2 linked regions of the Canis lupus familiaris genome follow. The protein of the gene in region 2 purifies or fractionates together with the protein of the main gene of each other region. This does not show direct contact. Links are inferred from orthologs where the notes say so. Each region holds a gene or a part of one and is shown on either strand. Other genes may lie near its edges.

Region 1 (3,563 bases), on a different chromosome or scaffold from region 2:
CTGGGGTGTCCCTCTCCCATTTGATTTAAGCTAGAGAGCAACCATCTTGCAGCCAGAAAAAGACTCCCTGATCTTTTTATAGGGTTTCACACAATGACTGGGGGCTCTCCAGCCTGCAGGAGCCGGCCTTGGAAGATACCAGGTAAGCTGGTGTAGCAGGGAGCCCAGGGAGAAAGGGCAGAGCTGAAAACACATCTGTGCCTCTTTCACTTTGGGCAATTTAAGGATCATAAACAATGCTTTGCTGTCACAGTGGTTCAGCTTAATTAGGAACAGGGCTGAAGGCCTGGCTATTTAAGTTTCTGTTAATTGAGAAGTTTCTACACTTCTCTCATTTTCCTTTCTAGTCTTGTGTCTGCTGAGGTAGGACATTATGAGGAGTCCTCCATCGTCTAGGGGAGTTGCTTTTGGTCGTTGGGACTTAGAGCAGAGAGAGGCAGCCACTTCAATGAGGAAAACGGAAACAGCCCAGCCCTTGGTTTCCTGACACATGCTACACTGTGGATAAGCCTGGAGGACATTATGCTGAGTGCAGTTAGCCAGTTACAAAAAGACAGATCCTGGATGATTCCACTTATGTGAGGTACTCAGAGGAGTAAAAATCACAGAGACAGAAAGAAGAATGGTGTTTGCCAGGGGCTGGGAGGGAGGCACAATGGGGAGTTACTGTTTAAGGGATTCCCTTAAACAGTTTTACAAGACGACAGTGATGGGGCAGGATGGTAGGGGTGTTGCACCACAGCATGAATGCATTTAATGTCACTGAACTTAAAGATAAGTAAATTTTATGTGGTGGTAAATTTTATGTGGGTTTTGTTTGGTTTTGTTTTATCATAACACAAATATTGGGGGGAAATAAGCAATATGACGTGCATTTGAACAGAGAAGGAAAGTGGACACACAGAAAGGGAAACAGAGTGGTAGAACTGATTACAAATGTTTCTTCCCTTGACTTTCAACTTTTCTGGAATGTTGTTATGTTGTTACACTGCTTTATAATAAACAAAGGGCGAAAGAGGATAGTATAGCCTTCTGCAGGCCCAAATAAAATAAATGAACTCTGCAGATCCTGACCATTCTGGGATTTTTTTTTTTTTTTTCATTATAGATGTAAGAAAGAAAAGAAAGAAGATGTACCAAGTATTTGCTAAATATGCTGGGCATTGCACTGAGGAATCTAATCTCCAGTTTAGTGAGAATATGAGTTTAAATCAAGTGTTCAGTTGGGTTTGAAAGAAAGCGAATGAAGTATAGATTAGGGTTTATTTTATGAGTCAGTTAGAAGAGCCAGTTGACATGTGGTGGCACCTGTCTTCAAGGCACAGCCATTTGGCGCTAGCGAGGGGGCTCCTGCTCTGTACGCACCAAACATTTCCTGTCCTGACTCCTTTGGACTGCCCCGTCTACCTCCCCACCCCATACCTTTGAAACCCAGTCATCCACCTAAGGAGCCGCAGCAGCAAGGAGGGGGACAGAGAGGCAGCAACTTAATACACAGGAGTTTCAACCAGCCCCTACTAGGGCCTGGTTGGGCCATCTGGAGGACATCCTTTCATTACCCTGCATGCCTGCCCCAGGCCTAGGCAGATGGAGTTCTCTCCATGAGGGAAAGCCCAACTTCCCTGGCTTCTCCTTGTCCCACTGCTTCCTATCTCTGCCCAGTATCCCTCGTTTGTAGTTACAGGCCCCTGCCTCTGAGACCTCTACCAGTTCCAATCTCTCCCTCCAAATCCATAGGCCTGGGGGATCTCACTTTGAGCAGAGGCAGGTCGGGAGCTTTGAGAAGGGAGAACAGGCACGGAACAAAGAACAAGGTAAAGTGGAACCAAACATGAATAAAGAAGGGATTAGTAAGGAAAGTAAAAGGGAAAAGTGAGGAAAACTTGCAAGTAGATTTTCCTAAATCCAAGGGAGCTCAGAGGATTTGGGTCTCCAAGGCACCTGGCCTCAAGAGTTCTCTTCACCCCTTCCCCTACTCTTACCTGTTTGTGAACCTTTGTAAGCTGTTCCAGGTTGTTCTCAAGAAAGGAAATCTTCTGCTTTTGGGAGTGAATCCCCCCACTGTCCTCGGGCTCCATTTCTGCACTCTGATTAAAGACGGAGAAAAGATGTGATTGTCCCACGGCCAAAGAGGCCTCACCCAGACCAGGCCAAGCCAGCTACACTGGAGGCCACAGGGCTTGGAGAAACCTGAGGCCAGCAGACAGTATGAGGGCTGGGAAGATGTCAAGGATGGCACTCACTTTCTTGACTCGAGTCGTGACGTCTTGAACGAACAGCTTGCGAAGGTTGTGGAGGGTCTGGAGTTCCCGGGCCTAGAAAGAATGATGACAAATTGGGACTGGCCAAATACCAGCTCAACCTTTTGCCTCCAAAACTATTGGAATTGTCAGTCTATCTGGTCAGGTGAGTCACTCATCCTTTAGGAAAAGATGTGTCCTGATTATGCCGCGGACTGACTCTGTATAAGGAATGGGGTTATGAAGGAATCAGGGAAAGAAATGAAGCCCCCACCTCACTCTGTTAACTTGGCCCAGAGGGAAACTACTCACAACTGTCTCCTCCAGACCCTTGAGGTCCTGCTTGGACTGTTCATGTCGCTCGTACAGAAATCTGGAGGGGAAGAAGGAAATGCAAGAGTCCCTCAGGATTACCTTTCTTCCCTCTCTCCTCCCTCTCCATTCCTTTGGTCTATACTTTATTGTTATTTATTTTGTAAGTTACCCACATTCTCTGTGCAGAAATTAGAAAAGAAAAAAAAAGTAAGACGAGTTTCATAAAAAGCACATAATTCTGTTACTTACAGATCAAACTGCCATTGACATTCTGGTGTCCGTCTTTTTGGACTCTTACTTCTATGCAGGTACATCCCACAAAAATTTCATGGGATCATACCATTCAACCTGTTTTGTAGCCTGCTTTTCACACTTAACAGAATATCACAAAGATCTTTCTAGGCTGGGGCAGCTAATATTCAATAGAGGTCATTTCTGAAAGTCTCCTTTCTGTTTTTTGTTTTTTGGTGTGTCCTTTCCCACCCTGTCATATGACTCTTCCGAGGCATCTACTTCCTGGGAACACCAGACCCCCACCTCCATCGCACCCTCCCTCTGCTGGTATGAGTGAGTAGCAGTCTGGACCATCACTCACGTCAGTTCCTGGAGTTTGCTGCTCTTCTCATGTTCTTCATTCTTCAGCTTCTCGTAGTCAGCCTGAAGCTTCTCTAGCTCTAACTGGAGCTTCTGATTCAGGCTGCAGAGGGCAAGGAGGTGTTGGAGAGAACAAGAAGCTATTAATGAGGGGTTAAGGAAAGACTGGCTCTGCAAATTGTTTCCTTCTGGTACAAGTGGGTCCAGTCAGGACTGGTGCATCTACGTTTGGATTATCAGAGGCAGGTGCACGCCACCGTTTGCACAACACAGTGAGGAACCATGGGCTATCTAATCATAAGAGCTCAAGGAGAAGAACTAGTCCTCACTCCTGTGCCTCCTGGAGTTGGGCTACAAAGCTGCGGCAGCTTTGGGGGAGTGGCACGTGGAAGTGAACCAACCAGACCCTGGGCC
Region 2 (4,239 bases):
CCAGCAACTGTTTTTTATCCCTATTTTCCCAACAACTTAGCACAGCACCTGTCATTCAGTTGGTTCTAGATAGACATTTAAGGTCATGCTTTCACCATTTAATATGCTAATCATTTTTATTCTATGCCCTGAAATTTGACATGTAAAACCTGCCTGTACTTCAGTTTAGGATATTACTGATCACTTCTTTGTTACATAAAGTTCTGGTTTCTTATCATATTCCACTTATGTTTCCATGTTACATGAATCCTACAAATTAACCAATCTTTGGTGTTTATATTCCCATATGGAAAGCTACACACTGGCTTATCTTCAACATTACGAAATATGCTTAACGATATATAATTTGGCAGGGGTGCGGGGCACCTGGGTGGCTCAGCGGTTGAGCATCTCTGGCTCAGGGTGTGATCCCAGGGTCCTGGGGGGAGCCTGCTTCCCCCTCTGCCTATGTCTCTGCTTCTCTGTGTCTCTCATGCATGCATGAATGAATGAATGAGAATTCATCATTTTTAAATATATAATTTAAGTAACTACAGTTAAGTTTTCATTTTAAAGTACTTAAGAGAAAAAAAATAAATACTTAAGATACTATGTGCTCCTCCCCAGTGGTATTTTCTCTCATCCTTCCTAGCAGTAGTGTCCTGACTCCCATGCAGGTCTTTCTACCTTTATTTGCATCGTCTAGTGTTTTTAGAAGGTAGTACGAAGCAAAGTGCACGAGCCAGGTCACAGACAAGTTACCACCCTGGGTCCTCCACCCCCCTCAGTAACACCACAGGGCTGCCAGACTCCACTGCAACATGATGTTGCATTCTCTGATGACTTGGGGAAACTGGCTCTTAGGAGTGCCGAGCTTCCCACATGCAGTTCCCCCACTATCTGAAGTTTTTAATATTTAGTATCATTTGTATTCCTACAGATGCTTAGGAAACAGAACAATGAATCAAATTTCCCACCTTCGCTAAGGCCTGTTGCCAATCCCTAAAAGAGGCCAATCCAGAACAGGTAACAAGATGATGAGACTTAAGAACATCGTCCCAATTTCCTAATGGGTTTTTGACTCAACTACTTCCATGTATTTTGAGCTTAACGACTCTGATCAATAGCTTAGTCATGCTGTATCTAAAAAAGCCTTAAAATTTAACTAACGCAAAGAATCAAAGAACCGCCCTTCAATATACCAGTTTAAATAGCGAACCTCAAATTTTCTGTTGTCCTCACTTTTTTTTTTTTTTTAATTCATGAGACACACAGAGAGAGAGAGAGGGGCTGAGACACAGGCAGAGGGAGAAGCAGGCTCCACGCAGGGAGCCCGACGCGGTGCCAATCCCAGGATCCCGGGGTCACGCCCCGAGCTGAAAGCAGATGCTCAACCACTGAGCCCCCCCCCAGGTGTCCCTGTCCTCACACTTTAGAAACGTTTTTTTGCAAGGACTCCTTATGAAACGCCTACCGTAAATTGTTAATGTGTTGTTTAAATAATGAAACAATAAGCAACAATTCTAGCACAAAAAATAATAATTAAAAAAAAAAAAAAACAACCCACCACCTGGATCTGCACACCTTACGCTGTAAAACCACCCAATCCGCCAGGCACTACTACTACAGTTTCAAGGCGTTTAAAGGTCTTGGGGGGTCGAGAGGGCACCGCATTTGACAACCGCGTCGGGGCGGCTTCAAGTTTGGGAGCAGGAGCGACGCCAGCGCAGGTGGACGCGGAGGATGAGCGGGCTCGCGTCCCGCGGTCCAGGGGCAGGGGCGGCCGAGCAGGCGCCGCGGGGCCGGCCTCCCGGGGGGCCCCGGCAGCCGCCGCCCCCGAGCACGACAGGCGCGGCCGCCCAGGGCGGTGCCGCGGGAGAGGGCAGGGGCCGGAAGGAAGAGGGAGGATTCGGACAAAGCCCGGCCGGCCGCCCCCCCGCCGCGTTCCCGGGAGCGCCCCCCCCCCCGCCGCTCGGGGTCCGCAGCTGTTCCGCGAGCCGCCCCCCCCCCCCCGCAGCGCAGCGCAGCCCGGGGACGCGCGGAGGGGACCGACCGCGGGGCGCCGCCGGGGATGCGGGGCGGGGGCGCGGCGCCAAGGGCCCGACGAGGGGGCGCCACAAGTGCCCGTTGGGGTGCCGCGGCGGGGGACGGCCGGCCGCTCACCGTGCTGCTCCCGCGGGGCCGCGCGCTCGCTGTCAGCACCGGGAGGGCGCGGGCGCGGGCGCGTGCGCGGAGCCGGGCTGCGCGGGGCCCGCTGCCTCGATGCCTCAGGCGCGGCGCCGCGGTCACGAGCGAGGGGCGCCGGCGCGGCCGCCCCGCAGCATCCTCGGCCGCCCGCGAGCGCTGTCCCCCGCGGCTCCTCCCTGCAGCCGCCGCCCCGCGCCCGTCGGCTCCTGCTCTGCTCCGGCTCCGCCGCGCCCGCCGCCGAAAATGGCGTCTCGGCGTCCCTCCCCCGGCTCGGGGCTCCCGCCCCACAATGCCCCGCGCGGCCGTGACGTCACCGCCCGCCGCCGGGGGGCGGGGCGCGGCGGGGCGCGGCCGGGAAACTGAGGCCCGGCGCGGAGAGGAGGCTCGCGGGCGTGCGGGAGGGGGCGCTGGGGCGGGGCGCGGCCGCCTGGGACCCCGCGCCGGCCCCGCGCGCCTGCTCGCCCGCCTCTCGGCGCGCCGAGCCCCGGCCCCGCGCGTCTCCGGCGCGCGTCGCCGTCTCCCTGGAAGCCGCCAGGAGGGCTGTGAGCAGCCTGTCCACGGCGCGGCCGAGGGGCGAGGCCACGCAGCAGGCCCCGGGCCTTCTCCGGGGACACCTAGTCTTTGATCGCGACCCTGACCTTCCCCGCCCCGTTACGCCCTCGCCCCAGGGTCCTCAAGAATCCGAGCTCAGCGGGACTTTGCAGGCCTCGCTCGGAACTGCACCGCCAGGCTGGGCAGGGAGATGCCATCCCCGCGGCCGCACGCACCCCCTCCCCCGCGGCAGCCGTGCCACGACCTCCAGCCCCCGCCTGAAGGGCAGTACTTCCAGGTCAGAGCGCGCTCCTGGGCCTCAGCCTGCTGCACCGCCAGCTCTGCAGGCCTGACTCAGCAGCCAGCAGGAGGACGCATGCTGATTCAGGGGGCAATGCTCAGCTTTCTCTGCCTGCCACCGGCTCGGGAGGACCCCCCACCCCCACCACCTGGAGCCTGCAGACATCCCAAGAGCCGGGCCCTGGGGCACTAGTGACCAGGAGGCGTCCCTCCACCACCACCCCCCCATCTGCTTTTGAACTGCTCAGCTCTTCAGATAGATCAACCCAGCACCAACAGCCGGTTTAACCCTAGAATTACACAGCCAGTGGGGGAGTAAATGCTCCTCGATTTTCACAGGGAGATCCAATTACTTTTTTTTTTTTTTTAATTATTATTACTTATTTGACAGAGAGCACAAGCAGGGGGAGCAGCAGAGGGTGAGGGAGAAGCAGGCTCCCTGCCAAGCAAGGAGCCCAATAGGGGGCTTGATCCCAGGACCGGGGATCATGACCTGAGCTGAAGGCAGATGCCTAACGACTGAGCCATGCAGGTGCCCTCAATTACTTTACTGTTTTTTTTTTTTTAAGATTTTATTTATTTATTCATAAGAGACAGAGAGAGAGGCAGAGACACAGGCAGAGGGAGAAGCAGGCTCCACCGATGTGGGACTTGATCCCAGGACTCCAGGATTACACCCTGGGCTGAAGTTAGACGCTAAACCACTGAGCCACCCAAGGATCCCCTACTTTACTTTCATATAAATGCAAAGAGTCAGCTAAAAAAGGGGGAGGGAGAAGCAGTGAATCAAACCACCTTTCCCTTAATGATTTGGCCACACTGCTGCTTGGATGTCACCTACTCCTCAACAGGCACCTAGGGGCTGGGCACACATTTGTAACCAACATGCTCTAGAGACGAGAGGAGTGGGCTGAGTGAGGCCTGCAACTCTGGGTGCAGTGATTGTTCCCTCCACTCGCCCAGGGAGGACCTGAGATGCTTAATGTCCTCTTCTAATGAGCAGCCAAGATCTTAAATCCTTCCTACTGCTGTAGTCCATCCCTCTCCATCCCCACTGCTGCCACTCCGTTTAGGCTTTATTATGTGGGACTCGATCCTGGGACTCTGGGATCATGCCCCGAGTCACAGGCACACATTCAACCACTGAGCCACCCAGGGATCCCTATCCTTTTTTTTTTTTTTTTTTTTTTTATTCATTCAAAGAGAGAAAGGCAGAGACAAAGGCAGAGGGAGAAGCAGGCT

What was found. The genes of interacting proteins can lie anywhere in the genome.
Region 1: the proteins of KLC1 (region 2) and KIF5A purify together in Homo sapiens (co-immunoprecipitation; 7 studies listed by BioGRID and IntAct, counting the BioPlex papers as one, with this or other methods). This does not show direct contact. The link is inferred for Canis lupus familiaris from reciprocal best matches to the Homo sapiens genes KLC1 and KIF5A.

What each region holds. Positions count from the first base shown.
Region 1 is NC_049231.1:2,011,435-2,014,997, reverse strand, and holds part of KIF5A (kinesin heavy chain), read right to left. Parts: intron 3,253-3,563; coding exon 3,151-3,252; intron 2,614-3,150; coding exon 2,553-2,613; intron 2,316-2,552; coding exon 2,244-2,315; intron 2,088-2,243; coding exon 1,983-2,087; intron 1,444-1,982; coding exon 1,423-1,443; intron 1,153-1,422; exon of another isoform or gene 348-1,152; intron 143-347; exon of another isoform or gene 1-142. UniProt on the Homo sapiens protein: Microtubule-dependent motor required for slow axonal transport of neurofilament proteins (NFH, NFM and NFL). Can induce formation of neurite-like membrane protrusions in non-neuronal cells in a ZFYVE27-dependent manner.
Region 2 is NC_049229.1:71,780,119-71,784,357, reverse strand, and holds the start of KLC1 (kinesin light chain 1), read right to left. Parts: upstream 2,826-4,239; 5' UTR 2,805-2,825; intron 2,471-2,804; coding exon of another isoform or gene 1,723-2,470; intron 1-1,722. Other genes in the region: basic proline-rich protein-like, read left to right, coding at 1,723-2,470, 2,835-2,995. UniProt on the Homo sapiens protein: Kinesin is a microtubule-associated force-producing protein that may play a role in organelle transport. The light chain may function in coupling of cargo to the heavy chain or in the modulation of its ATPase activity.